Notamacropus eugenii: one gene and its partners. The protein of the gene in region 4 interacts with the protein of the main gene of each other region in a pairwise test. Links are inferred from orthologs where the notes say so. Each region holds a gene or a part of one and is shown on either strand. Other genes may lie near its edges. The genes, in order: PSMC6, C2H11orf68, CDC34 and SDCBP.

Region 1 (7,605 bases), on a different chromosome or scaffold from region 4:
GAAAAAAAGTATCCAGGAAAGGATATATAGTTAGTAGTGTCAAAAGTTTCTGGGAGGTTAAGGCTAATGACTGAAAAAAAGCTATCAGATTCAGTAATTAATAAATTACTGATAATCTTAGGAGAGATCAGTTTTAGTATAGTAGTGGGATCACAATTCTGACTGCAAAAAGTCAAGAAGTGAACAGGAGGTAAGAAAATGAAAGTAATGGCTTCCTAAAGTGAACAATAAATTTGGCTTCCCTGAATACTATAAACCTTAATACTGCTTTGAAACGTAGGATTGGGAATTAAGAGTTTAAATCCTAACTTGTAACTAGCTGTGTAATTTTGAATATCACCAAACTTCTGCATGCCTTAATTTTTGTATCTAAAAAAATGGGAGTAGCTCTAAAATTGTATTATTTCTAAATTTATGATATTTATTCATTTATTCACTGAATATTTGGTCAAATAAGAAAAAAGGTAAAACTGAATTACCTGACGCCGACAACCCACAACATATCTTGGTCCATTTGTTGCTTTAACAATGACTAGAAAAGAAAAAAAGGCCATAATTATTTTTTAAAGACATTTGCAAGAAGCAATTTGGAACAATACTCCAAAAGTCACTAAAATTGTGCATATGTCTTCATCCCAATATCCTTATTAGGCATATACTCAAAATTTATTTTTTTTAAAAACAGGAAAAGGTCTTCTTTATATGTACAAAATTATTTACGGTAGCACCTTTTATATCAAAAACCTGGAAATAAAGTGAGTGCCCATTATTTGGGGAATGGCTAAACAAATTCTGATACATAAATATAATGGAATATTATCCTGCCAAAAGAAATGATGAATGGGACAGATTCTGAGAAACCTAGAGGAAGTGAACAAAGCCAGAAGAAAAATTTATACACTGACTACAATGTGAGGACAACTGTGAAAGACTTAAAAACTCTGATCAAGGCAGTAACTAATCACAACTCCAAAAGTCTAATGATAAATCATATTTTTCTCTTTTGGCACAGAAAAAATAGACTGTAGGCAACTGAATGAGATATGTATATGTGTGTGTGTATGTGTGTATATATATATGTATATGTATGTCTGTATGTCTTCAGACCAACCAATACAACACAAATTCATTTTGTTTGATTATATTCATTTGTCACAAAGCCGCAAGTCATGAAAAAAAAAGAAAAAACATCATCCAAAAAAATAAAGAAAACATCATCAAAACATACACATTAAAGCAAGTTCAGATGGGGACACATTCAAAATGGGCAATGTGGGTAATACTATGTTAAAACTGAAATACGCAAAAAACTACAAAGCTATATGTGGTACAGTTTCTTTTTTCTGACCTTGTCATATATGGAAAATCCATGTTTGTGATGTCAAGTTCATAATATGGATATATACACATGTGTATAATGTTTTTAAAAAGATATCTGTAGGAGGGAATGTTACTTTATTTAAATCATCCAAATTAAAAATGACAATTCAGAAACCACTACTCGAAGAAAAACCAGCTTGTCAAATTGTTCTTTCAAACTATTCGATATATTTCAAAGGAAAAGCATATTTCTGTATGTATTTTGTATATTTTGACCATCTACTTACATTTTTCTTCTGTTAATTGTTTAAGTACTTCACCCACAATCTACAAAAGAAAAAAAGTGTCATTATTTAATGTAATTACCTGCAGTAGCCAAAATTACAACCAAATCAACAACTTACCTGCCCAACACTTTGCAAGGCCTTCAGATCATTTTCAGACTTTTCATATTGCTTGGTAAGCTCTTTCAACTGTTCTCTTACTGAAATAAAACAACTAGCATATTAAACAATTGTTTTATCAAATGTATCTGTGACATCTCAAATTTCTTATTAAAATACCGATAGATTGTACAAAGAAACATTTATTAATTTGTCTGTTTCTAATGAATGATTGTTGATTTTAAGTCAAGTAGCAACCTGACTTTTAAGGGTTATGTATTCGATGATCTTAGTTTCCACTGGCTAATGGGTTTTCTTATCAATGGTTGTTTACATATACTGACAAATTAGGAATGATAGTTTTCATGCCTCCAATTCAAAGTATATTGCATCCTCATCATCCTGTAACCCAAGCACAAGATTCTGCTATTCCGATCAAATGATCAATAAAAATAAGATGTGTTAAAAAGAAATGCTGACATCCCTTTCGTTTAGGAGATGAATGGTCGGTAAAAAAGCTAAGTGCATTGAGAACGGGTGACAGGGTCCAGCACAAGAACCACAAGTCTTGATTGTTTCTGCCCAGAAGCACACGTACATCCCCTCAGCTGAGCTGCGTAGCTCTCGCCGTGCCCCGGCGTTCTGCATTCCAGAGCTTCCCTCCTTAAGCCCCTGCAGCTCCCGTCCCCTTCGGGGCCTAGAGCAAGAGCCTCTGCCTCCTAAAGTGAGTCGTCCTCGGGCCCAGGCACCTTCTCCACTACGCTCGGCCTTCAACTGCAGCGGGACAGGCCCTTTCCCCCTTCTCCGCCCGTCGGGTGGGCTTCCTCCCGTGCCCCCGGGGCTCGGTCGGCATCCCCCCCCCAGGCCGCCGCCGGCTCGGAGCGGCCGCGGCTCGCGGCACGATGACAAAGCGCCTTGTGCTACAGCCCGGGTCTTGTCGTTCAAAAGCCTGCCCAGAAGGTGGCCTCCCCTCGGCGAAGAGAGGAGCAGGGAGAGCGGGCCCCAAAGTCCGTACCAAGGTAGAATACTTACACTCTTTGAGGCGCCCATCGATCTCCTTGTGCTCGAGCAGCTTCTTACGGTAGTCCTGAAGAGCCTTATCTCTCGGGTCCGCCATGATGAGAAGACGCCTCTCATAGGGGATGCTGGGAATGTCCATGGCCGCCGGGGCGGGGGGGAGAGGGGCGGGGACGGGAGGGGAGGAGGAGGGAAAAAAGGAACTGACACGATACGCCCCGCCTCTCTACCCAGGTTCCCCCCACCCACATCTCCTCCTCCTTCCCCTCTTTTCCCACCTCCCACCCTCTTTCCCAGGAGGCACTTCGGCTCTCTCCGGGTAGGCAAGACTCCTCCCCCGCGCGAAGCTGAGCTGCTGACCTCCCCGTACACCGTCCCCTTCTGGTAAAGGCTGCAAATAGCAAGAAGCCGCTCCTGGGCGTCCTCTGAGGCTTCAGACATAGCCTGACTCCTGCCTCTGGAAAAGAGAACTTTGAGTTAACAGTGACTGAAAAAAAAAATCAGAGAAACAAAGAACGTTTTTTCCAAACATGTCTCGGTTGCCAATCATCTTATACAACAGCTTAACCTTATTTTTCAAGCGCGTGAGGCTCTTTGTAATAGTAGTTGATAGCCCCATTTCTGAAACTTAGGGTTTTTCCCCTTTGCACACAGCTAGCATCATTACTAATTTCCTAGGAAATCAGGAAAGGCAATAATCCTGAGTCAGTGAACAGTGTCTATACAGCACTTGCTGACACAGCACTTTACATACATAGGCACCCTCTTAGACCTCCCTTCCCTGCCTCAGTGGCCCTGGGAGACTCTGCCACTGCACTCCGTGGGTCTGTATTTCTGAACTCACCACAATCCACCCCCAAGGGCTCCCCCCAAATGCCCTCCCCCCTTACCCTTCTGTAGTTAGCCACAGGACACAATTTGTTGTGGTTCAGTTCTGTCGACTGGAGAGCCAATTTGGGGTTTTCTTGTCATCTCTACTGGAGAGGTTTGCCATTTCCTCCTCCAGCTCATTTTACAGAGGAGGAAACTGAAGCCAACAGGGCTAAGTGACTTGCCCACGGGTCACACAGCTAGTCAATGTTGGAAAGCACATGTGGAGTGTCTTCCTGATTCCAGGCTCAGCACTCTATCCATGGACCCACTGCACCACCTAGCTGTCCGCAGGATACAATTAGCTCAAAGCAAAGGCATGATATGAAAAAATAGCGACACAACTTCTTCATAATCCTGAGAGGTATCATGACAGCAATATAAACAGCAATAGTAGGAAGACTGGTCACTTCTTGTGGAAAGCACATAAATAGGGAATGTGTTACTTAAACAATTTAGACTTCCAAAGTCTCTCCTTGCTTGATGTCTCTCATGAAGTTCTCACTGCTCTTCATGGGACCTCTGCTGGGTAAATCACTATGACCACCAGGAGTTTCAGTTCTTAGGCCTGATACTTGTTGAGCAGGATTTCAGCTTCAAACACCAGCCTCTCAATTCTTCTTGCCAACTTGACTCTTTACATGTACTCCTCTCCAACTGACATTACCACAATGTTTCTGCTTATAAGATGTCATTGTCAATGGAGGGATGGGAGGAAAGAGAAAGAATCCTCCCCCCACCCCCAGCTTTCACTGAGGCACAACAGAAAAAGTGAAAAGCAAATTGTCACTTCACAGCTGACTATTGCTTTTTTAAAGTCCACCAGGGGCATGACTGATCCTACAGACAGATGATGGCTGTATTTCTCTGTTTCATCAGTTGTCTATCCTTTGGTCAGTGCTTTATAATTCCATCAGGTTTACTGAGGAACTTTTTTCTCACTTTGTAACTGAGTTATTTAGGCAGCCTCCTTGTATTCTATTGTTTGATTTTTTTAGAAAAACTCCTAAACACTTCTGGTAACCATGTAACCGCAGCTTCACCAGCCCCTTCCATAGGGACTTAGATACTGTTACTATATCTTTAATAATGAATGGAATCTTGGGGAGTTACTGTTTCATCTGTTATCTGTGAGAAGTCTATGAGTGATGACTTTTACTTTAATGCTTATTCTGGAGATACTATTAACTGTGATGCCTGTGGAGGACAGAATAAAGTCTTCTTTCCTGAGAGGGAGTGATGTAAATGTCAAGGAGAAAAGGTCTAAAGAGGCATTTCTTGTGAGGATTGAGTTTAACTCTTGTCTTGGAAATAAATATTATGAAGTTAATTCTTGGGAAAAGACTTTGGCATTTAATAAGGAATTCAGGATGAGCAGGGAAGAGAGTTTATACTACTTTCTTCTCACTTCTCAACCCCTGGCATCTAGCTTCTGACTTCATTATTCAAGTGAAACTACTCTCACCATAGTCACCTCTAACCTCTAATCAACTATGACTCTTCCACTAACTAGCTATGTAATTTTGAATTTCCAGTTGGATTTGGAAAAGTGATTCATTCTGGCTATGGTCTTCCTGTCTCCCAACAGATACATTGTATATGATTATTTCTCTTTGTTATGTTATTTGTTACATTTTCATGTTATAATTATAGAATTTTTTTTTAAGACTAGAAGATAATGGGGGAGAGGAGAGGACAGGACAAGACAGGAGAGGAAGTTTATGAGGAAGGGGGTTTGTCCAGTTTAATAATTTTTAATAAATTGAGGAAAGATTAAGGGCTAATTGGCTAATTAGAGGAGTGTTGCAATTTTGGTAATTTATGGGGGAATGTGAGAACATAGCCCTTGATTATCTTAGAAACCAGGATGTAACAATCAAGTAGAAGGTAAGAGTGGGTTAGTCATTCCTAAAACCTGTTCATATCTCCTAAAACCCAGATATTAAAACTTATATATTACGTATCCTCTTGAAAATTCCTTTGTAACTCTTGTGCGATACCCATTCTCTCCTTTACTCCAGTCTCTGCCAAAGAAGTCACCTCTCTTCTTGTCAGGGATCACCCTAATATTTAAACCCTTAGTCCCATTCCTTCCTATTTCCTTTGACAGACTGCCCCCATATAATCCTGGACTTATATCACTAAACTGCCTGCCTTTTGGATATATCCCATGAATGTCCTATAAACATGTTAAAGGCAAAAGAGGACTCTTCTTAAACCAGTTCTCCCTAATTTCCTTATTTCTGATGACTAACGTTGTCTTCCTAGTCATCCAGTTTTACAAATTCAGTCAACTTTTATTTCTCACTCTCCCCACCATATTTGATGTTTCCAGGTTCTACAGTATTCTTTGAATCTATCCTTTTCTCTCTTTTTACATAACCTCCATGTAATTCAATCAGTCAACATTGACTAAGTGCTTACTATAAGCCAGAGACACTCACTGTGCTAAAATTTGGGGATAACAAGAAAGATAAAAACTAGACCTTGCCTTTAACAAGTTTATATTCCAATGAAAAAGATAATCTTTTAATTTTTATTTTTTCCTCCAAATTTATTTATTTGTTTTCAATTTTTAACAATTATTTCCATAAGTTTTAAATTTTTTCTCCTTCCCCAAGACAGTATGCAATCTTATATGGGCTGTACACATATATTCTTATTAAAAACATTTTCACATTAGTCATGTTGCATAGAAGAATTAAAACGAATGGGAGAAAGTATGAGTAAAACTAAGCAAAACCAAACATAACAAAAGAGAAAATAGTCTGCTTCATTCTGTGTTCTGACTCCATAGTTCTTTCTCTGGATGAGGATGACATTTTGCAGAAAAAGATAATTTATAAATAACTGTGTACCCTGAAGATAAATATAGAGTAGGTGAGAGGTAATCTCATAAGAGAAGGCACTAGCAGTTGAAGGAAGGTTGTGAGTAGAAGATAAACACTGAGGTGAATCTGGAGGAGTCCAGTTTAACAGCAAGCAAAGTGGGATTTTTTGTTGTTTTCTTTTTGGAGTTCAGTTTCCCAAACTCAGGCTAAATTGAGAACATCTGAAGGCTCAATTTCCTTTGAACCCTGATAGTTCACAGCTGTGCTAAGTCATGTAGGTTTCATGCCTACTGACTTTGAGTCAATCAGGAGCCAAATCTTTGTTATATATACTGGGAGGCTGGTATTTTACTTTGGGGGTTTGCTTATGAGAAGAATCTTGTGATTCCCTGGTCAAGACTCTGAGTCATCATATGTTCAGACCCTCTGACTACTCAGATGTAAAGGCTCTCTCGATCCAAGGGTGTATGTAAAGTATATAGCAATATTGCTTTGATTCAGGAAGTAGAGCACTGTCTGTTGGTCTTTATTTCTCTGTTTATACTTTCTTTGTTTGTATTTTCTGAATGTAATGACAAAGGATTGTTGACCCCTTAAACAGCTATCTTTCCTAGTAAAGTAGATCCAAAAACATATGCTAGCAGCCATCCTGAGTATACCAGTGTGGTTACTTATACATTCAGAGAAGCTAAGAGCCATAGGTGAGGGAGCAGAGTATTCTGGACATGGGGAGCAGCCAATCCAAAACACAGAATCCAGAGACAGAGTGTTGCATGTAAAGAACAAGATCAGTGTAACGGCATCATAGAATACTTGAATGTGTATAAAGTATAAGAAGACTGGAAAGGTAAGAAGTGCTGTGAAAAGTTGTAAAGAGTTTCTAATGCTGAGTTCCAGGGTCTAAGGTGGCAGAGTAAAGAGTGAATCACTGTCACTCTCCTATGATCACCACTGAACAGCCATAAAATAGTGCCCCAGAACAAATTTTGGAACAGCAGACCCAGTGGAAAGATGGGTTACATCTTTTAGCCTGGGAAACTTGAAGGATCAGTAAGAAAGGCCTGTCTCACTAAGATAAAAGGGGAGCCTGTCTAAGGACAGGAAGTAGCCCCACAAGCCCCATCTCAGAAATCTAGTGGGAGATTCTGAGCCCTAGTGTGGTAGAGTAGGCAACCACCAATACA
Region 2 (7,327 bases), on a different chromosome or scaffold from region 4:
CTTGAGGGCAGCAGGCTGTTCATTTTTCTTTTTATGCCCAGCATGGGGCATAGAGCCTCGTGCCCATTTCTGGGAACATAATAAATGCTTGTTGATTTAAATTAAGTTTTGCCCTGAGAGGCAGGAGAGAGGTTTGGATTGGAAGCTAGAAGACATAGGTTTGAGTCATGTGACCTCTGTGCCTCAGTTTCCTTATCTGTAAAATGGGGATACTCACTACGCTCCCTACAAGGCTGTTCTGGGGATCAAATGAGAATATACTGAAAGCTCTCTGTAAACTACTACGTGCCTAGAGGTACCACAAGGCAGCGAGCAAAGTTGTTGCAGGACTCAGTCAGTCAACAAGCATTTATTCAGGACTCACTAGGCACCAGGCACTGTGCTAAGTGCAGACAAAGGAAAGCTGTGGAGACAAAGAAAAGCAAAAAACAGCATCCCTCCCTCCAGGGGCTCACATTCAAATGGAAGAGACATCGTATTAATGACTGGGACACAAGATATATACAGTGTAAAGGAAAGGAAGGCAGTGAAGGTGCTGGGGAAGGCAGGAGGCAGAGGTTGAAGAAAGAGCACTGCAGGCACGGGGCACAACCAGGCTTTGCAAAGGCCTGGAGTTGGGAGGTGGTACCGCCTGTGCAAGAACAGACCAATACCTGGATTATGAGATTTGAGGGAAGGAATAAAGTGTCAGAAGACTGGCACTTGTGAGGGGCTTTCATGCCAGAGCATCATCAAGCTGATCCTGGAAGTGGTGGCTGAAAACCAGAAGCACACAGTCAGGCTTGTGGCTTCCTTGGTCCCAGCAAGCCTCCTAACCCCATTCCTCATCACATCAGAGCTGACCAGCTGCCACCTGGATCTGACAACCAGAGGAGCAGGAGGGAGGGGTGGGCTGAAAACAAAGGTGGGCTTTATTGAAGCCAGGGAAGGAATAGTAGAGGAACGGGTTGTAGGAACTGCAGGCAGAGCAGGGAGCAGCAGGCACCTACCCCACGGGCCCCCCCTGCTGGTGGCCCCGTCCACACTCAGGACTACCAATCCCAAGATGCAACACTCCACCAACTCCTAGGTGCTTTGCCATCCAGGGATGGGGTGGAGTAGCTCTAAGCAGGTGGAGGGAGCCCAGTCAAGGCTCTGGGCAAGTAACTGAAACTCTGAGGAACAGGGTCCCGTTGGCCCTCCATCGACTGGACCAACACAGGGAATAATGTCACGTCTCTGCCTCCCCTCCTTTCCTGAGGCCTGACATTGGTCCCCAAAGCCAGGAAGGCAGACCGCCCTGCCATGGGGACTGATTTAAGAGCCAGAGAGCTGCCCCAGAGGGCCGGAATGATTGTCTGTGCCTTCCCCACCCTAGATGTCTTGGCTCCCAGCACCCGAGTGCCCACCCCCCCTAAGTCAGTGCTGTGTTGTTGAGCCTGTCCAGGACTCGGGAGTAGTGGGGGTCACTCTCCAGGTGGTAGCTGCTCTCATAGAGGGTAGGGCAGAGGTGCCAGCGGTTAGCACGGTAGATTCCTAGGTAGGTGTAGACATCTGGCTTATAGGTCAGTGGGCACTTGACCCCAGCTGCCCGGATGGCGGCATCAGCCTTCAGCACTCCTTCCTGGTCTGTGAAGTCCTCTGTGTAGACACAGATGACCTGACGCTCCTCTTCCTGGGCCCGGGGGCTCACTTTGGCCACTTGTAGCTTCCCCTCCACCACAGCCCTGGCAATGCCAGCCCATGCATGGTCCAGCTTGAAGCCGGGGCTCAGGTGCATCAGCCACTTGCCGGTCAGGACCTGGTGAGTGAGGGCCAACTCCCGCAGAATAGCAGGTGTGATGGGCCGCCCGCTGGCCTGTAGGGCTTCCCAAGCCCCCTGCAGTCCCTGGACATCCCCAGCTCCAGGGGAGAAATCAGGCCCATACACTGCAATCCAGCCCACAGGCTTGGGATTGGGAGCGCTGGGGCCCCCATAGCGAGAGACACGAGAAGGAGGGTAGGCAGCCAGCCAGGAGTCCAGCTCACAAGGCGGGGTGCTGCGGGCATCGAAGACCAGCCAGGGGTCCATGTCGGCTGCCATGGCCTCAGCAGCCAGATGCTCGGCCGTGAAGCCATCCTCCTGGCCCCCAGGGGGGATCTCTTCCTCCGGCAGCTCCATCCTGCGGGGAGGAGGAAAGGTGAGGCCCCGGAACCCCCACCTGCGAGCTGGGTGCCTGCAGCAGGGTCAAGAACCCCTCCCCCTGTAAAGGATGTCCCTTGCAGTGCCATCCTACCATCCCGCTCTTTGTGGCCCTTTAGGGACAGAGGGCGGGGTGTCCCAGTGGGTGGAGCGCCGGCTCGAGGCTGGGAAGCCCCGAGTTCAAATGCGGACACTCACGTGGCTGCTCCCTGTCCCGGTATCCCCGTCAGTAAATCGGGATGATGCTAGCCCCTGCCCCTCCCCAGGGGGTGGGGAGACCCGAATGAATGAACGCAGGGAAAGCGCACGGCAACCCCCGCTCGGCCCTGGCTGCTAGAGGACGATCCCAATCACTAAGCCCCCGCCCCCAGCTCTTAAAGGAGAGAAGCCCTCGGATGGATCCCAGCCAAGTCGCCAGCTCGCCTTCGGGGAGCCACAGTCGGCCCCGCCCCTCCGGCTCCTCCGAGCCCCGCCTCCCCTCCCCCGCCAGAGGAGGCGCTCGCCGCCGCTCGCCTCTTCCCCGCCCCTCCCCCCGGCCTTGGCCCCTCCCGGCTCCCGTACACGCCCCGCCACGGCCGCTGCCCTGGCCCGAGTCTCCGGTCTCGCGACCCCGCTGCCTGCCCTCAAGAGCCAGTCACCTCCGCCTCTCGCTCCTCTCCGTGCCAACCCGGCCTGGCCCCCGCTCTCTCCGGGGCTCTTCTCCGCCGCGGGCCCTCCGCTCCGCCCACCCTACGGCCGCCGCCATCTTGGGCCGCCTGCCGCCTCAACAACAACTTTATCGGCAACCGCCGGCCGCGGTCGTGGACAGCCAGGACAGAGGGGGCGGGGGGACGGGGGAGCGAAACTCCTCCGGACGTGGCAGAGGACGCGACCAATGGGAAGCAGGGCCCCTCCGCGGAGGCGTGAACTCGCGGAGGGCGGGGCCGTTGAAGGCGTTCCTCCCGCAGCAGGGAGGCGGGGCGAACGTCGTCCTCCGCGGGTCTGTAGGAGGAGAGGTGCCGGAGCGAAGCGGCCGCGAGGAGCGAGGCGGGGCGGAGCGTCCGCGGTGGCGGGGGCGCTAGGACCCGGAGGAGCGAGCGGCGGCTCGGCGCTAGGACCCGGAGGCGCCGGAGAGGCCCGGCGCTAGGACCCGGGTGGGGCCGCAGCCGGAGCCGGAGGAGCCGCGGCGGCGGAGCCCGAGGAGCCCGAGGAGCCGGGGCCGGAGCCGGGCCGGGGCCGGAGGGCCGAGGCCGAGGTGCGGCGAGAGCAGCGGCGGCAGCAGGAGGCCACGAGATGCCGAGCAAAAAGAAGAAATACAACGCGCGCTTCCCACCGGTGAGGACCCGGCCCCCGCGGCCGCCCCCAGCCCCGGCCCCGTCTGGGCCCTCCTGGCCCGGCCCGTAGCCGCCCCCTCCCTCGGGTCCCACCCCGCCCCGCCCAGGGATCCCGGGGGCCCCTCCCCCAGCTCCTCCCCACCCTGGGACCCCCGCCCCGGCCCCTGCCCCTCCCCCGGCTCTCGCTCCACACCTGGGCCCCCAGCGGTCCCCGCTCCCGTCCCCGCTGCACCACCGGGCCGCCCTCTCCCCCGGCCCAGCGCCCGGACATCCTTCGATGATGGAGGTTCCGGAGGGGGGTGCCCTGGTACCCCTCCTCGAAGCTGATCTCTGCCTCCCCCACCCCAAGGCCAGAATCAAGAAGATCATGCAGACGGACGAGGAGATCGGCAAGGTGGCGGCGGCTGTGCCAGTCATCATCTGTATCCTGGGCCGCCGGGGAGGATCGGGGACAGTGGGGCTGGGGCTAGGAGGTCGAGGGCAGAGGGGCTGGGGGCTCAGGAGGCCGGGGACGGTGGGGCTGGGGCTAGGAGGTCGAGGGCAGAGGGGCTGGGGGCTCAGGAGGCTGGGGACAGTGGGGCTGGGGCTAGGAGGTCGAGGGCAGAGGGGCTGGGGGCTCAGGAGGCCGGGGACGGTGGGGCTGGGGCTAGGAGGTCGAGGGCAGAGGGGCTGGGGGCTCAGGAGGCTGGGGACAGTGGGGCTGGGGCTAGGAGGTCGAGGGCAGAGGGGCTGGGGGCTCAGGAGGCTGGGGACAGTGGGGCTGGGGCTAGGAGGTCGAGGGCAGAGGGGCTGGGGGCTCAGGAGGTTGAGGGCAGAGGGGTTGGGGGCTCAGGAGGTCAGGTACGGTGGGGCTGGGGGCTAGGAGGTCGAGGACAGAGGGGCTGGGGGCTCAGGAGGCCGGGGACGGTGGGGCTGGGGCTAGGAGGTCGAGGGCAGAGGGGCTGGGGGCTCAGGAGGCTGGGGACAGTGGGGCTGGGGCTAGGAGGTCGAGGGCAGAGGGGCTGGGGGCTCAGGAGGTTGAGGGCAGAGGGGTTGGGGGCTCAGGAGGTCAGGTATGGTGGGGCTGGGGGCTAGGAGGTCGAGGACAGAGGGGCTGGGGGCTCAGGAGGCCGGGGACGGTGGGGCTGGGGCTAGGAGGTCGAGGGCAGAGGGGCTGGGGGCTCAGGAGGCTGGGGACAGTGGGGCTGGGGCTAGGAGGTCGAGGGCAGAGGGGCTGGGGGCTCAGGAGGTTGAGGGCAGAGGGGCTGGGGGCTCAGGAGGTTGAGGGCAGAGGGGTTGGGGGCTCAGGAGGTTGAGAACAGAGGGGTTGGGGGCTCAGGAGGCCGGGGACGGTGGGGCTGGGGGCTAGGAGATCGAGGACAGAGGGGCTGGGGGCTCAGGAGGTTGAGAACAGAGGGGTTGGGGGCTCAAGAGGCCGGGGACGGTGGGGCTAGGGACTCAGGAGGTTGAGGGCAGAGGGGCTGGGGGCTCAGGAGGCTGGGGACAGTGGGGCTGGGGGCTCAGGAGGCTGGGGACAGTGGGGCTGGGGCTAGGAGGTCGAGGGCAGAGGGGTTGGGGGCTCAGAAGGCCGGGGACGGTGGGGCTGGGGCTAGGAGGTCGAGGGCAGAGGGGCTGGGGGCTCAGGAGGTTGAGGGCAGAGGGGCTGGGGGCTCAGGTGGCCGGGGACAGTGGGGCTGGGGGCTCAGGAAGCCAGGGTTGAGGGGCTCAGGGCTCCGTCAGGCTTCCCTGATTTTTCTTGACCAGCTCCTCAGCCAGGGCATTAGAACTGTTTTTGGAATCCCTTCTCAAGAAAGCCTGTCAAGTGACCCAGTCTCGGAATGCCAAGACCATGACCACTTGTCACCTGTGAGTCCTGCCAGGGAGGCCCCACTCTGCTCCCCAACTCTGGCTTCCCCCTTGGTCCCATAGGACACATTTCCATTCTCCTTCTTGCCCCACCCTCACCCTTTCCCTCTGCCTCCCTCACCTTTGAAAAGATCATCTGATTCAGAATCAAAAGACCCACATTGGAATCTCTGTTCTGCCCCTGACCTCAGCCAAACCTGTTCTGGGCCTCAGTTTTCTCTGCTGTAAAATTAGGGGGTTAAATTAGAAAGCTCCTAAGGCCCCTTCCAGTTCTTCATCCCAAGAGCTTCTGTTGCCCTTCAGTTCCCCCCACCCCCAAGTCCCCCTTCCTTTGGAGCCTGAAGGAGGAGCTCAGCCCCTGTTATCTCCCATCCTAGGAAACAATGTATTGAATTGGAGCAGAAGTTTGATTTCTTGAAGGACCTGGTTGCCGCCGTGCCCGACATGCAGGGAGATGGAGAAGACAATCACCTGGATGGGGAGAAAGGAACCCGAAGGTAAGGGGCTACAGTAGGACATTCCCCCATTCTCCTCTGACCCACCCTAGCAAGGTGTTGTGTTTCAGAGAAAATATTTCCAAAATCTAACCAGCACCATATACAAAGTGGAACAGTCACAAAATATTTATTCAGCTTGCTATCGTGTGCCAGGCACTGTGAAGCCCCAGATCTCTCTGTCTGTCTCTGTTCATCTCAGGGCATCCCCCCACCCCACCTCCTCCCAAAGAAATGTCCCATAAAACAGATAACATTTTTAAAGAGACAAAATCAGCAGACGCGATCAAATCTTACAAGTCTGGGAACCTACAGCACTCCAGACCTGTGCACCTCTGCCTCGGTGAAGGGAGGAAAGGGGGAGGGAGGCTTCCTTTCTTTATGGTTTCACTGAAGTCCGGCCAGTTTCCCTTGCCCAGTTGCTGCACTGTTGAAGCCCACCCACACCTGATTCTCCTCCTTTCTTAAGTTCATATAAATCTTCCCAGAGTCCCTTTTTTCACAGCACATGGTATCCCATTATACTCACGTCATACTTTGTTCCGCCCTTTCCCAGATGAGGGGCTCCACTTTGGGTTCAGAACTAAGCAAGCTGCTGTGGATGCTTTTGTATACAGTGTGTTCTTTTCAGTGGTGTAGATGAGTCCAAAGGGTATGGATGGTTTCATACCTCTCTGACCAAAGGTCTGAGCTGTCCTGGGTCCCTTGGGAATAAGAAGGTTTCAAAGCCACTGTGAAGAAGCACCTTAGGGCTTTCCTGGCCTGATTCATTCGAGCCTCACAGCCGAGCTGAATGGAAACGTCTTGAAGTCAGACCCTGGTGTTTTGTGTCCCCTGTAACCTTGCGCATTCATAAATGTCCGTGGGACTACTCATGGTACTTGCTGTCCCCTTGGTGTTTCCACCTTTTAAAGTAACCTTTAAGGGCCTTTCTGGTTCTAATTCTAGGGGCCGGAAGCCTGGGAGCAGCCGGAAAAACGGTGGTGCTGGAGGAAAGGGGAAAGATAAGAAGCAGTCTGGGACAGACTCGGAGCAGGAGGTGAGCTAGCCCCATCAGACTGTCAGCTGAGGACAGGACCTGTCTCCCTTAGGTCTGTCCAGTGACTGAGCCCCAGGCTTCTGAGAGGAGGCCATCAATGCCTTCTCCTCTCCCTGCCTGATATACCTGGGCAGTCAACATGGCCCCTTCTCCCTGAGCTCAGGGGGTCTGACAGCCTTTTCTGTGATTCGTCCCACAGGATGATTCTGAAGACACAGAGACAGATGGGGAGGAGGAGATGCCACAGCCCCCACCCCAATCCAGCCGGCCCACAGCCCAGTTCCAGAGGTGAGGTTGGCGACCTGGAGGCAGGAGTGGGGAGCATTGTAGGTGGGGGGGAATGTGGCTCAGGCTGGGGGTTGAGGGGATCTGGCTCAACCCAGTACCTGTCTGTAATGTCCATACCACCAACCTCCCAGCACCCATGGTTCTCTAGGGTTCTGGTCTCGAGGATGCCTGTGCAGTTAATCTGACA
Region 3 (7,447 bases), about 210 Mb from region 4:
CCTAGAGCTTGGATCCAGATGGCCTCTGAGGTCAAGGGCTTGGATCCTACAGATTCCTCAAGTGTAATATAAGCCTCTTGAGGACTGTGACTGTTTTTTATTTTGTTGTGGTTGTTTTGTCTTTCATTATTCCCCATGCTTAGTAGGGTACCGGTCTTAAACACACCAGGCACCTAATAAATGTTTGTTGGCTTGGATTGCATTTGTTCATGAATGGATTAGCCAAATGGCCTCTAAGATCTTTTCCAGCTCCGAGATTCTGCGAATGCTATGGAGACCCTTGTCTCTCCACATTCTATGTTTTGACAGTCTCCTTCATTATTTTTTATTAAGATATTTTTATTACTCTTTTTAGTACTTTCCCCACTTAGTAGTATTTTATTTCTTCCAATTACATGTAAAGATGGTTTTCAACATCACTTTCATAAGATTTTGAGTTCCAAATTTTTTTCTTCTTCCTCTCTCCTCTCCACTCCCTAAGGCAATGAGCAATCTGATAGAGGTATGACCGTATTAAACACATTTCCATGTTAGATATATTGTGAAAGAAGAATCAGAACAAAAAGGAAAATCCAAAAGAAAGAAAAAATTTAAAAAGGGAGAGAATAGTCTGCATTCAGACTCCAGAGTTCTTTCTCTGGATGTCGGTAGCATTTTCCATCAAGAGTCTTTTGGAATTGTCTTAGATCAGTATGTTGCTGAGAAGAGTGAAGTCTATCAAACGTGGTCATCACACGATGTTGCTATGACTGTGTACAACGTTCTCCAGGTTCTGCTCACTTCACTCAGCATCCGTTCTTGTAAGTCTTTCCAGAATTTTCTGAAATCTACCTGCTCACCATTTCTTATGGAACAGTAGTATTCCATTACCTTCGTATACCACAATTTGTTCAGCCATTTCTCAATTCATGGATATCCCCTGAACTTTCAATTTTTTGCCACAACGAAAAGGGCTGCTATAAATATTTTGGTCCATATGGGTCCTTTTCCCTTTACAATCTCCCTTATTTTTAACTATCCCCTATATTGGGTGACACAGAGCTGTGGCCCAACCAGCTCCTGCCTCTATCCAGAGCTACATTCCTGCATGCTTTAACTACATCTTGCACAGCTCTGCCTTCTTACTGGCCCCTTCAATCATTGTCTAAAATCCAAATTCAGCTCTTCCTCCTAACGTGCTTATTTCTATTCCAGCCACTGCATTCACCCAAGCTTGCCCCCTCTTTCTTCTTCTTCTTCACATCTCATCCATCACCAAGTCCTGCTGATTCCAAACCCTCAACACTTCTCCTCTCAAAAGACAATGTGACATAGTAGCTGGAGTGCTAGACTTGGGAGTCAGAAAGATCTGAGTTCAAATTCTGCCTCTTGACACTTACTACCTGTGTGACCTTAGGCCAGCCATTTAACTTTGCTGAGTTTCAGTTTCCTTCTCTATAAAATAAGGATAACTTGCAATACAGGCTTCATGGACTATCTTGAGGACCAATTGAAATAATGCATGGAAGGGGCTAGATCATCATAGGTTATTAGAGCACTGGACCTTGAGGCAAGAAGACCGGAGTTCAAATTTGAGCTCAATTAGGTGTGACTCTGGGCAAGTTACATCACCTCTGTCTGCTTCAGTTTCCTCATCTGTAAAATGGACAGCTAGGTAGTGAACAGTAGACATTGTATTGGGTCTAGAATCAGGAAGACTCATCTTCCTGAGTTCAAATCCAGCCTCAGACACTCACTAGCTGTGTGACCCTGGACAAGTCACTTAACCCTGTTTGCCTCAGTTTCCTCCTCTGTAAAATGAGCTGAAGAAGGAAATGGCAAACCACTCCAGTATCTCTGCCAGGAAAACCCCAAATGGGGTCATGAAGAGTCAGAAAAACTGAGGATAAAAATAGTACCTACCTTACAGAATTGTTATGAGGATGAAATGAATTGTTGTGAGATCAAATGTCTCTTTTAGAAATATTATTTTTAACATTCATTTAAACAATTTTTAAAAATTCCAAATTCTTTCCTTCCCTCCCATCCCTCCCCACCCATTGAGAAATAAGATAATATTTTTAAAGTGCCTAGCATAGTGCCTGGTACATAGTATGCATTTTATAAATACCCTTCTCCTCATCCTCTCTCATTATGAACTACTGGCCTCCCTGCTTCTGATCTCTGTCCCTCCAAGTCATTCTTCATAGATCCAGAAATATTTTCTCAAAACATGTCCCTCTTCTATTCAGACACCTTCAATAGCTCCCAACTGCCTTATTAAAAACAAACAAACAAACAATAAAAAAAACCCATCTACCCAACTTATCTTCCCCTGCCTCCCTCTGAGGAATCTTCCTGTTCCAGTCAGACTGGTTTATTACCAGCCTCTAAAACACGCTGTCCACCTCTAGACAATCTCCCCTTCCTCTTTCTCAGAATGTTCCTCCACTGCCTTCCCACATGCTCAACCTATCCAAATCCCTCTAGGCCCAGCTGAAAACCACCTCCTTTGCTGAGCCTTCCTTGATTTCCCCCTTCCTGAACTCCTACACCACCACCAAGTTCATCTTCCAGTGAATCATATCCGGCTTTGTGACAATTCCTCCCTTCTTGTCTTGAGGTTATTTACCTCTTGCCCTCTCACGTAATCTTACCATGTTCATGTGCAAGGTGCCGAGGCTGTAAGTTTCCAAGGGCAGGAGAAAGATGATTCATCAGTCACCTCTTGTCTCTGTTTTGTCTTTCCCCCTATACTGGCCAGGTACTGAATCTCAGAATCTCAGCTGGAAGGCACCAACTAGTTTAACTCAGGCAGAAGCATTAATTCTCTCTCTAGCAAACCCAGTAAGGCCTCTTCCAGCCTTTGCTTGAAGACCCCCAAGGAGGGAGGATCATCCCCTCTTTCTTTTGGATAAAAGAGTTTGTTGCATTTATTTGCAGAACCAAGGGTGTTCAGGATGGAAGGGACCTTAGAAACCAACTACCTCATTTTACAGAAGAGGAAACAATAATTGTCATTTGTACAGGCCATTAAGGTGGACATATTTCTACGTATTATATGATCCTTTAGATAACCCTGTGAGATAAGTACTATGGATTTCATTATCCCTATTTCACAGACTGAGACTCAGAAAAGTTTAGTCCCTTGGACAACCACGGTGATACAACTCATTGGCAAGTGGGGTTCCAATCCAAGTCTCTGCTGATTCTAAGGCTTGTGTCCTCTCCACACCCAGACCATGCTGATCTGAGGCCCAAAGGGAGGAAGGGACCCACAAACAGTGGCTTCATTCCCTCTGCCTGAATGCACTGCGCTAGGGCAGAGGGACGGCTTGTTTATTTTGCCACATGTAGTGGGTATTACCAGCCTGTCTTGGCTGACCCGCTCTGAAGACCTGTTTTGGCAGTGCTGGCATCTCCCCCGTTCAAGGGGGCATAAAAATAAAATGAAAGGGAGTTCACACTGCAGTGCATGAGACCTCATCAGTGCTACAGCAAAGGCCCTTTTACACTGGGGGAAGCACTGATGACTGATACTTTATAGAGAGAGGGGTCATCAGCACTGGAGCGAAGTCCTCAGCAGTGGGTCAACAGGCACCAAGGACAAGAATGCTTGGGCACAGCCCCGCCCCCCCTCCCCTGCACGCATCCTTCCGGATGTGTGTCCCAGCCCAGAAACCAAGGGCACCCTGGCACGTCCTCCTCGAGCGAGCGCCCGCTGCCAAAGCAAACAGCCCCATTCCAATTGCACGCCTGCTACGTGCCGGGCAGGCCCCGCGCTGGGCAGCCCGAGACAACAGCACAAAAGCCTGTCCTCCAGCAGCCTCGGGCGCCCGAGTCACCGCACGGAATCGCGCGTGCGTGCGTCCCGCGTGCGGGCTGCGGGGCATGCTTCTCAGCTGGGCCGGAGGGCTGGAGGAGGGTGGCTCGTCCTCACCCCAGCCCAGTCCTTAACCAGGCTCAGCCTTCGGGCGGAGGCTGGCGGGGACCTAGACCTAGCCTGGGCTCGGTCTGAACCGGGACCCCCTACTGCGCGCGTGCAGCACCGCGCGGCTTCTCTGGAAGCCTCTTAGGGACGGGGAGCTCTCTACTGGCGGGGGCCACCCCCCCCTCCCACCACTACTCCTCCCCCCCGGACCCCCTCCCCGGCCCGCCCCCGGCCCTGGCAGGTCTGCTGCCTCGAGAGCCGACCTCCAGGGCCAAGCTGGACTCGGCGGCTGCCTCAAGCCTTGCAAAATCTCCAGCCCCGGCCTTCTCCTCTCCCGGACAAACACGCCCTGTTCCTTCATAATAAATTCTTTAAAAAAAAAAGTTTGTTGGGTCGGATGGGCCCAGGGTCCGGCCCAGCTGAGCTGACCCGCTTCCCTGTGCCCCGTCCCTACTCGCCTACTACCCGAGCCCCGCCCTCACCAATTCAGGTGAGGGGGTGAAGGACGTCACAAAAAAAACACAAAACAAAACAAAACAACAAACCCAACCACACGGGCCGCCACGGGCTCCAACGCCTACCCATCCCAGCAGCCCCCCGTCCCTGCGTTCCCCCCCCAGCAGAGGTGTCTGGGGGTTGTAGTCCCGGCTGGGGCGGCTGCGGCCTCGGCCTGGGGGCGAAACCCAATCGCGGCTGAGGCGCGCTTGCGCGCTCGGCCCCCCTCTCCTCTCCCCCTAGGATAGGCCGGTCGGGAGGGGGGGGAACGGGCTCGCGGTAGCCGACGGGGTGGCGCAGGCGCAGGCGCAGGCGCAGGCGCGGGCAGAAATAGTCAGGAGAGCAGGAGGGCTAGACAGGCAGAGCGGGAGGGCGGGCAGGCAGACAGGCGGGCAGCCCGGCGCAGGCGCCCCGCCGCCGGCGGGCCGGAGCGGACCACAGTTCCCGGCGTGCCCCGCGCGGGCAGCGGCCTGAAGACAAGGGGAAGGGGAAGTAGAAGAAGGAGGAGGCGGCGGCTGAGGGCGGGCTGAAGGGAGGGCGAGGCAGGGGGAGGAGAAGGCGGAGCGGGGGGCCGGGCTGGGCTGGGCTGGGGGGGGAGCGGGGATCCAGAACGAGTGGAGCGCTCGGGGGTTCAGGGCTCGGAGGCGGCGGCTCCCGGCAGTGGCGGCGGCGGCTCCTCCTCCCCCCCTGCCCAGAGAGTTCGGCCCGGCCCGTCACGCGAGTCCGGGGCGGCCGTGCGGCCTAGTTCCCCCGACGCGGCCCAGCCCGGCCCCTCGACCTCGGCCCCCGCCGCCGCCGCCACCGCTGCCGCCGCCTCCCTGACTCCCGCTGCTGCCGCTGCCGCTGCCGCTGCCACTGCCTCCGCCTCCTGCGCCATGGCCCGGCCGCTGGTGCCCAGCTCGCAGAAGGCGCTGCTCCTGGAGCTCAAGGGGCTGCAGGAGGAGCCGGTCGAGGGCTTCCGGGTGACCCTGGTGGACGAGGGCGACCTGTACAACTGGGAGGTGGCCATCTTCGGGCCCCCCAACACCTACTACGAGGGCGGCTACTTCAAGGTAAGGCAGGGAGCAGCCCGACTTCTTACATGGGAGCCAGGCCCCGGAGAACCCGGCCACCCCGTGGGGTTCCTTTGCCTCCCCCCCACGCCGTGGTAGGTTCCCCAGCTCTGCCCCCCGTGCCATGCTAGATTCCCCATCGATTACCCCCACCCCCCCGATTCCTCATCTATTATCCTGCCCCATGATAGACTCCCCATCTCTTACCCCTCCCATGGTAGATTCCCCAGTCTATTACCCTTCTCCCAGATTCTCCATCTCTTATCCCACCTCCATGGTAAGTTCCCCCATCTTTTGTCCTCCCCCGTAATAGATTCTCCATCTCTTTCCCCGCATATGGTAAGGTTCCCCCATCTCCCCCCACCATGGTAGATTCTCCATCTCTTGCCCCCTTCCTCATGGTAGGTTTCCCCATGTATTACCTTCCACAGTAGATTCTCACATCTGTTACCCCCAAGGAAGATTCCCCGTCTCTTATTCTCCCCCATAGTAGATTCTCTATCTCCCCACCAGGTGGGTTCCCCCATCTCTTACCACCACTCCTCATGATAGATTTCCCCATCTCTTATCCCCTCCTTTGTAGATTTCCCATTTCACCCAATGGCAGGTTCTTCTGCCTTTTTACCCTGTCCCTATATATATATATATAGTTTCCCACCTTCTTTTACACACACCACACATGATGATTGGTTCCCATTCTTTTTTATTTTATCCTCCTATGGTAGATTCTTAGCATTTCTTTCCTGTGAAGGGTTGATTAAACCTCCCTTCTCTATTTATACATATATGTTTATATACATATACATACATACATACATATATACAAGATAGATTATCTTCTCTTTTGTGTTTATGGAGACTGGATTCTATAACACACTTGCAGACACAGGCAAGGTAGATTCTTTTTCTCCCTTTCCCCCCTCCCACACACATGCAGGCCAAATCTTTCCCATATATATGAACACACAAAGAATAAATTCTCACACATTTACACGTGTGTATATATAGCACATTCTCACATGACAGTCTACATATACGTACTACTGTAGAGACACACGTGCCTACTCCATGATAGATTCTCCTGTCTCTTTCACAAGCATTGTAATAGATTTTCACATCTTATTCATGTTCACACAAAAGAAGATTCTCCCACAAAAGAAAGATGATAGTCTCCCATCTATACACACACTCAATAGATTTTTCCCAGATATACATAGGCCCTCATGTACATGGTATTCTCCAACATACACAAGATAGATTTTCTATCCACCCAGGTGATTGATTCTCCCTAGACACAACAACACACATACGTACCTGATAGAATCCACATATATACAACATAAACAATTATGTTATGTGTCTACCTTTCCCTTATAATATGTTCTTTTGTATATGTTAGTCTCACATACATACATGCTAGATTCTCCATACATGCAATATATTTTCATCTTTATCTCATATATAGAATAGATTTCTACATGCACACACATGATAGATTCTCATTTCTTATACACGCATGCATGATCTCTCATCTCTTACACAAGCACACAATAGATTGTCTTATCTCTTTCACACTTGCATGATATTTTCCCTTACATGCACATACAGAATAGATTCTCCCATCTCTTACACACATGCATGATAGATCTCCCATCTTATATGCACACAGGATGGATTCTCTCATCTCTTACACACATGCACACACAGGCAAGATAGATACTTCCATCTTTTACATACAAACACACCAGCAATTTCATCATTTCTTACACATAGCACATGTACACAGAGAATAGGTTGTCCTATGTATTATATACAAAGACTAGATTTTTCCAGCATTTATATGTCCTAGAATTCCTCTATCTTTTACATACACCCATATATACACATGGTTCCCCTCTCTCTTAGACGCACATCACACTAAGTTCCCCTGTCTCGTATAGAAACACACTACATTCCCTTATTTTATTCACATGCACACACTCCTCATGTA
Region 4 (7,944 bases):
TCAATCCGAGAGACCTTCCTCGGATAGTTTCCCTTTTGTAACATGTCTTCCCATTTGCATTTATCTGACTCACTGTTATTTTTAATATTTATGTTCTAGGTTTTGATTCCTCTGACATTCATTTAAACCAGATTTTACCTTTACAAACATGCCAAGAATAGAAGACAGACCCACTCCTTTCTTGGGATATTCTCTCTCCACTTACCTAGAATTAAACTGGTTTACCCCTGACACCTAACAAATGATCCACTGGCCTAAAAGCAACCATCAGAAAAAATATTTCCAGAAATATCCAACAAATCTTAAATGTCAGCATATATTCACGTGATAAAAACATCATTATGAAAGCTTTGTGCGACCTTGGAACAAAAGATATACTAAAGGGGGAGGATAGGAGGGAATAATGACCTTCCTTCTTGGAACAAGTGATGAGAAAGAATAGGATCATATTGCTGGAAATAACCTCAGAAAATATCTAGTTCAATCCTTTCCTTTCATAAATGTGGGAAAGTAAATCACAGGCAGGTTAATTGGCTTGCCCCCAGTCACATAGGTACTATGTGACAGTCTTCTGACCCCAAAGCCAAAGGTTCTCCTACCATACTCAAAAAACATTTTCCTATTCATTTGTCTATAACTTTGAAAAAATAAATACTTCCTAAAGGGCAATAGAAAACTATGATATACATATAATTGAATTAATGTTCCATAAAGGTAATTTTTTAAAAAACAAATTCCATGTTCCACATATCTAAACTAGACTATGAAAAGACAATAGAGTATAGTAGAAATAGTGCTAGACTTTGCAGTGCTAGTAGTTATTAGCTCTGTGATCAGGGCAAATCACTTCATCTCCATTTCCTCATCTGTTTTCTCATCCAGCTCACTAGTGATCTTCGTTAAGTCAAGAGACTTAACCTACTTCTCTGTATCTGTCTCATCTGTAAAATGAAGGGGTTGTATCAGGATGAGCTCTAAAGTTCAAGATCAAGATCTCTGGTCCTGTTCATTTCAGACTCTTGTTCCAAGAGGTAAGTTCATATATTCATGTCTCAATTAATATTCCCTTTGAGTATTTCTTTTGCTTCAACCTAGCACCCAAATGATATTCATGTTTTTCTTAAGCATACTCTTTAAGATGGACAAAACAGAAAAACCTTAGTGAGAATGTAAAGAGCTTTGCAAACTCTAGATCACAAGAGAAATGGCAGCTATTTGTGTTTACAGATAAAGAAAACTGAGGCCCAGAGAAATGACTTAAATTGACTTTCTTATGGTTACATAGTGCCAAAGGATAAAAATAGATTTCACCTACCTAATTCTGTCAAAAATCTGGAGGATAAGTCAACTCTAAGGAGATAGTTTATTAACTACAGTAACTATCTACTATTATTAGATTTTTCCCATTCTGGTTGGGGAGTACGGTATACTACCATTCCTACCAGTATCTTGGAAAAAAAAAAGACCAGAAATTAACAGCCAAAATCTAGTTTAGGTTACAATTTTATGGTTACCGAATAATCTTTATGAAAAGCTTGATGAATTTTTTAAAATTTTTATACTGCTTACTTTTGTACTATTTAGCTCAAATGTCTTGTAGGGCTACCAGGCTCTCTAAGAGTTCATTGGTGATAACCAACAAACTATGAAGTTACAATTTTTATCTTTCTACATTTTTAGTCCCAAGCTAGGATGAGAAAAAAAATGAAACGACTAGACAACTAAGATCTTCTCTACATCTTCTGCATATAGCGTAACAGGAAACCCTAAACCCAGTGGGTAGGGCTACTACCCAATCTTTATAAAATATACTTGAGGCAGAACTGCAGCCTATAAAAAGACATGTCAAATGAACTAACACTGTATTAAGTGCCTATTATGTGCCAGAAACTGTGCTAATAACTACCATGAGTGGTCATTCATTTAAAACTTTTCCCTTTATAAGTCACTAGTATTCTTTTCCCTCAACTAGAGGCCAGCCGCAGATATTAATAGAAATTACAATTTGGCACAAAATACGCCCCAGAAACATAGACTTTTGAAATAGCCTTGGAATTTCCTGTCAAAACTCTGTCATTTCGGTTGAAATGAAAAGCCCGTGTTGTAAGAGTCCCCTCTACACTTCAATCAGCATTTATTAAGCGCCTGCTAAAGACTGTCAACAACCACTCTCGGCTCTCGGCCCCCGGCCCTCCGGGTCAGGAAGGCAGGCTCCGGGGCCCAGGGCCGAGGGCTCTGGGCTGTCCGCGCCCACACCCGGCAGTGCCCTCCACCGGATCCACCTTCTCCCAAGTCAAGGTCTGTGCGGCGAGCCAAGGCTTGGGTCATCTCCACGTCCCCAGCCGAAGCTGCGCCCACGGAACCAACAAGCCCCCCACCCCCTCCAGGCCCCAGGCGCCCCACCAAGAGGCGGGGAGCGAGCCCGCAGCCCGGCTTCTTTGGGGTGCTTCTCCCCCGTTCCTGAGCCTCTCGCAGGTAACGGGGGTTCGGGAGGAGGTGCCCCGAGGCCCACGCCCTTCCCCCCCTTGGTTCTGCCCCGGGGGCGGCGGCTTTCCGCGCCCCCCCCCCCAAGCCCGAGCCCCGGGCGGGGGCCCATTCGGATCGCGGCTCCTGGGGGGGGGGGCGGATGAAGCCCCAGCGCAGCTTCCGCCCCGCCCCGGGGGTTCACAGCCCCAAGGGGTGAGTCCTACGGCTTCCCATCCTCGCCCCCAAACCCACCGAGCCCGGGACGGGGGGGTCACCTTGCCATTCCGCCCCCCCTAAAGCCTGCCGCCCACCTGAGCGTCGTCCGCTGTCTCCTCCAACGGGTCTCAACTGCTTTTCCCAGCAACGGTTTTCCCGATCCTCAGGGAAGGGAGAAGTCCGGGAACCGAGCAATCAGTCAGCGGGGGAGTTACGTCACCCACCCTAAGCCCCGCCCCCCGCCTGCGCAGACCACTCTCCGACATCCAGGTCAGGTGACACTCTCCTCGGTCACTCTCCCCCGCCCTCGGGGTTGCCAAGACAACCTTGGGGCGGGGCTAAGCCTGAGAGGCTGGGAGAGGGGGAAGGGGATGTGGTTTGGCATAGAGCCACTGTCCCCTCTGCTCGTTTCGCTGGCTCGCGTCCTTCAGCCCCTGCAGGAGGCGGAAAACCATCCGCGACCCCCTGGGGACGGAGACTCCCCGCTTTCCGCTTTCTCCATCCTTACCTTGGAGGCGCCCGGCACACAGCGGGCGCGTCATGAATGTTGATTGATCCGACCACTGACCTCCCAACTAAACTCGCCCCCTCCGCAGGAAGCGCTCCCGACGCCCCGGATTCCGGAATCTCCTGTCTCTGCCCTGACCACCTCTCTCCGGCTTCCTCCTGCAGGAAGCCTTCCTGAACCCCCTTTATCCCGGTGCTTTCTTCCTCTTAGTTAGGTCTCCTTGGTCCTGGCTGTGGTGTGCCTTGTCCACGTTCGTCTCCCCGTAAGCTCCTTGAGGGTGAGGGCCGTCCTTTGCCTTTGTGTACCCAGCTCTCAGCACAGTGCCTTGGCTTAAGGAAGGCTCCCGAACCGAATTCATCAAGATGTCTGAGTACACCCCCCTTCCCCCACTTACTGTCTTCTTATTGCCCGGATCCCCAGAGCCCCTCTGTAATAGGGGACCCAAGTCTGAGTACTAATCATTAATTAGCTGCTAAATGCAAATTGCGGCTGTATGTTAAGCAACTTATAATTTTATTATAGGTAAAATATGAATGTAGCAAAGGAGTTGGTCAAGGAACCCCAGGACAATTGACTTCTGCCTCTGCTCCCCATCTACTTGGAGACTTTAGAATGTAAGGAGGAAGTGATGGCTTGGAAGGCGTGAAAGGGCACAGCCTTGTCAGGCACTTGGCTGCTGGTAGTGAGGTGCCCTCTTCAGACTCTGAACAGCCCATTTGTACAGGGAACTAGGTTAAAGTTTGGGAAAGATAAGCGTGCCCTTTCCTCTGCATAACAATAAGAGTAACGAGAATAGGAGCTAGCATCTGTGTAGTCCTTTTAGGGTTACAAAGCACTTCCTACTCATCTGATTCTCCCAACCCTTTATGTAAAGTAAGTGCTGTTATATTCCCACTTTTCAGGTGAGGAAAATGAGGCTGAGAAAAGGTAAGTGATTCGCCCAAGGTTATGTAGTCTACTCTTTGACTTGGGCAAACAGGAAGGACCTGAGGCGCAAGAGCCAAGCCTGCTGTCTAGCAAACAGATGGATCAAGAACAAAAGAGAGTTGGTTATGGAGAAAGCACTCAGCTTTTGAGATTTTCATTCTTTACATTTTCCCTTGTACATCTTGGAGAGTGCCACAAAGAAAGGAAAGAATCACCCCCACCCACGTGGTTGACAATGGCATCTTGAAGTAGAAGCACTTAGCAGTGTCAGGAAGTATAGGGTCCATGGTAGTCAACAACAGGAGTTATATGGCAGCTGGAGACAGGATCCTACTTAGGAGATGGCTTCAGTGAATCTTACAGTATGGATTCCAGTTCTGCCCCAAACTGCATACCTGTACTTTAGTCCACGATTACGGCTGAGTCCAAAGGCAGAGACAGTGGAGACTACAGCAAAATATCAGATCTATTGAGTATCACCCAAAGCTTAAGGGGCCCAGAAGGGAAACTCATCCAAAAAGTGATACTGTGCTCCTGGAGGGACAACAACTCCAGGAAGTTCTGAGAAGACACTGGAAATCTGTAGCACCAGAAGTATTGATTGCATTGGTCACTTGGGTTCCCTATTTGTGTTCCATTCTATTTGTAAAGTTTATGCACTGATGCAGTATATATTTATGGGAGAGTATGCCCCAGCTTGTGGAGGACATTTTATTGCTACTGTACTTAGCTATGTGAGCTGGGGCAATTCCTTTATTATCTGCTCATTGTGTGCTCTAGGTAGCTAAGAAGAAGAATACTTCAGGAGAGGCTTATAAGGCATAAAGCTACTAGTGAGGACCCTTAAAATGTTGTACTTGGGGTAGTTATTCCTCAGTGATCTCAGCTCGCGATTGCTATTTGAGGGAGCAGACCAGAGGAAGTACTATACTATGAGGGCTCTACCAGTATAAATTTTGAATATTTTATGAATATGTAGAAACCTACTGAGAAGATTTTTTTTTTATTTCTACCATCACTGAAAGTGCTTAAAACACAAAAGACTCGCAAGTACACATCAACAAATGCAGAAACATAAAATAATATCCTGTCTCTTACATTACTCTCTTCCCAGAGGTAAAGACAATTTTGTGAAACTGCTGAAACCCACATTCTGTTTGCATATCAAACCTGCACGGTATGAGCTGCTTACAACAAATTTCCTGGCCATCCAAGGTATAGCTTGGGTTTTTTATGCATTTCTGTAGTAGTGGTACTTCTTGGTAGTGGTACTTCTTCTCTTCTGAGATGTAACGATGGTAATCACCTCCCAGTGGTCAGCTATCACTCAGCTGAATAATTCTCAGCATTTTTACTTCATGAGTTTATAGCAAGGGCTAGAAATGTCCATATCTCAGGTTTAGTGATATATTTTATGCTCAGGGGAAAAACAAAAAGTAAAAAGTAGTTAAGGACTCAGGCTCACATAGGCAAACACCATGTTGTTGTTGCCATATGATAGCAGTCATCATTGCCGTTGGGCTAGGACGAAGATAGAACTTCTTCACCTTCCCCTTGCTGGCAATCCAAGAGAGGGCAAGCACTGGAAGATTCCCATATCCATAAAAGATCATGAGTTATTTCTTCTCAGTTCCTCTTAAAATCCACCAAATATACAACTCCTCCTGCTCCTGACAATCGACTTTCACTCAATCCCCATCATTGGTGACCAATCAAGTGTTGCTACAGTTTCTCAATTAAGCTTATGTCCTTCAGAAACAGGCTAGAGTACATGGCCACAGAAAAGAAACAGAGCACCTGCCTAGCTCTACAGGTAGTACCCTAGTCTAACCGATCAAAGGGTTTCCCTCTTCACACTCATTACATGAATAATTCTCATAAACATTTGCAATGTTTGTGGGCTTTTGAACATGCCTGGCTTGTCTGACATGAAGCTCATGGAGCTCATGGGGTCCCCTGCCACATAAGTGGGGTAGCCTCCTCTGGCTCTCTATTTCTCTCCCTCTGTGTCTCCCTCTGTGTCTCTCTTTGTCTGTCTGTCTGTCTCTCTCTTTGTCTCTCTCTGTCTCTCTCTCTGTGTATCTCTGTCTCTGTCTCTCCCTCTCTCTCTTTCTTTCTCTCTGTCTGTCTGTCTATCTGTCTCTCTCTCTGTCTCTCTGTCTCGCTCTGTCTCTCTTCCTCTCTCTCTGTCTCTCTGTCTCTCTCTCTGTCTCTCTCCCTCTCTCTCTCTGTCTCTTTGTCTCTCTCTGTCTCTGTCTCTCTCTGTCTCTCTCTGTCCTCTCTCTCTTACTCCTCCCTCTCCCATCTTTTGTCTATGCTCCTAGCTGCTACTCCTAGCCTGGATGTTTGCCCCTACACTTCCTCTTTTACTCTGGCTCTAAGACATGGATCTAAGGGTGTTTGTTTCTCTTCTCTGTTGTTTGTCTCTAGTTTCAGGTGCTAGAAGTGATCCCCAGAGGACCAGGAGTTCAAGCCATAACCACCTTGGAGCCAGGATTGCAGGTAGGATAGTGCAACTGTACACTACACCCCCCCACTCCAGTAAAGGGAAGCCACAGAACCCAGGGTACCTTGGACTGGAGCCCAAGTGAAGCGTTTGGACATTGACCTGAGACTTTGTTCTAAGGGAACTGGATCCAAACTATAAACCTAATCACCTTCCTGTCCCCAGAGACTGAGGTAGTATGGAGGGAGGAGGAATTATGCATCTCCATGATGGGAGAGGCAGAGAGTATGTATGTTAGTGAAGTAAATATTCCTCTTTATAAAAGCTCCACTGTGTTACACATTTATTTACAGTTTTGAGAATTAAGATTTTCATTTTTTTATTTGCAAAGTACCTGAAATACTAATTCTATAACACAATTTTGACTGTTGTTCTGTAGGTTTCTGTCTTCATTTGAATAAACTACTAAAAAGTTAATTATTTGCGGGTCATTTGATCTGTAAGATTATGTAACTCCTTCCTTCTTTTAATGCCAGCCACATGACAAATCAACCACAGTCTCTCCGCATGATAACAATGTCTTAAAAAATTATTTTTCTCTATGTGCAATTTCATATAGCATTATGAACAATTCCTTGTAAGACAGCAAAACCACTACTCAGCTGACTAGCATGCAACATACTTATTTCCACATATACGAACTGTTTCTCACTTTAGATGATGAGTAATTTACTGAAAAGTTGCATACAAAGCATTTTTTTTAAAAACTGAGTGTATAGTCTAAATGGACAAGTAGTAAATTTTTAAAAAGAAATTCTGAGATAAATAATTCTGTGAAATCAAGGGTATGTGAAAAAACACATTTGGATTATGGTATTGATAAAATATAGGCTGGATTTACCTCCCCCTGAAAATGTTGCCTTTAGAAAATTGAGGTGTAGCCTTCTATAATCAGTTATTTCAAAATATATATCATTTGTATGTGTATACATACATACATATGCATACATAAGGAATAGCATTTTTCAGCTGTGATCTTGTAATGCCAATGAGAGTTAAAGATCTTCCCCACCCATTGATGGGCCTGCCCATTAAGAGAAACTTGATTAGGGGAGACCCACACCTTTCCTTAATTTATAAAGAGGCACTGGTTCTCAAGGGTTGTGATGCCCTCTGACTCTGAAAAGTTTATAAATACTCTGAAGTGAGGTTTAACTTTGGGGCTTACTTATTGGAAGTGTTTGGCCAGATGAGACTCTGGGCAACCACTAGGGAGTCCCCCCCACTTTGAAAACCCAGATGTTGGTGCTTCTCTCTGGTAACTATGTAAGTATGCTCAGACAGCTGGATCTGTCTGTTAATCTGTGACGTCTGTATTGCT

What was found.
Region 1: the proteins of SDCBP (region 4) and PSMC6 interact in binary tests that used the Homo sapiens proteins (3 or more experiments, as listed by UniProt). The two-hybrid records come from large-scale screens. The link is inferred for Notamacropus eugenii from reciprocal best matches to the Homo sapiens genes SDCBP and PSMC6.
Region 2: the proteins of SDCBP (region 4) and C2H11orf68 interact in binary tests that used the Homo sapiens proteins (3 or more experiments, as listed by UniProt). The two-hybrid records come from large-scale screens. The link is inferred for Notamacropus eugenii from reciprocal best matches to the Homo sapiens genes SDCBP and C11orf68.
Region 3: the proteins of SDCBP (region 4) and CDC34 interact in binary tests that used the Homo sapiens proteins (3 or more experiments, as listed by UniProt). The two-hybrid records come from large-scale screens. The link is inferred for Notamacropus eugenii from reciprocal best matches to the Homo sapiens genes SDCBP and CDC34.

Annotation. Positions count from the first base shown.
Region 1 is NC_092872.1:326,077,976-326,085,580, forward strand, and holds the start of PSMC6 (26S proteasome regulatory subunit 10B), read right to left. Parts: upstream 3,019-7,605; 5' UTR 2,863-3,018; coding exon 2,736-2,862; intron 2,723-2,735; exon of another isoform or gene 2,350-2,722; intron 1,805-2,349; coding exon 1,725-1,804; intron 1,648-1,724; coding exon 1,608-1,647; intron 533-1,607; coding exon 480-532; intron 1-479. UniProt on the Homo sapiens protein: Component of the 26S proteasome, a multiprotein complex involved in the ATP-dependent degradation of ubiquitinated proteins.
Region 2 is NC_092873.1:18,628,298-18,635,624, forward strand, and holds C2H11orf68 (UPF0696 protein C11orf68 homolog), read right to left. Parts: upstream 3,001-7,327; 5' UTR 2,907-3,000; coding exon 2,800-2,906; intron 2,142-2,799; coding exon 1,394-2,141; 3' UTR 318-1,393; downstream 1-317. Other genes in the region: DRAP1 (dr1-associated corepressor), read left to right, coding at 3,434-3,475, 3,824-3,896, 5,226-5,319, 5,697-5,816, 6,762-6,852, 7,052-7,140.
Region 3 is NC_092875.1:69,196,651-69,204,097, forward strand, and holds the start of CDC34 (ubiquitin-conjugating enzyme E2 R1), read left to right. Parts: upstream 1-4,439; 5' UTR 4,440-5,280; coding exon 5,281-5,457; intron 5,458-7,447. UniProt on the Homo sapiens protein: E2 ubiquitin-conjugating enzyme that accepts ubiquitin from an E1 ubiquitin-activating protein, and catalyzes its covalent attachment to other proteins by an E3 ubiquitin-protein ligase complex. In vitro catalyzes 'Lys-48'-linked polyubiquitination.
Region 4 is NC_092875.1:277,130,392-277,138,335, reverse strand, and holds the start of SDCBP (syntenin-1), read right to left. Parts: upstream 3,002-7,944; 5' UTR 2,778-3,001; intron 1-2,777. UniProt on the Homo sapiens protein: Multifunctional adapter protein involved in diverse array of functions including trafficking of transmembrane proteins, neuro and immunomodulation, exosome biogenesis, and tumorigenesis.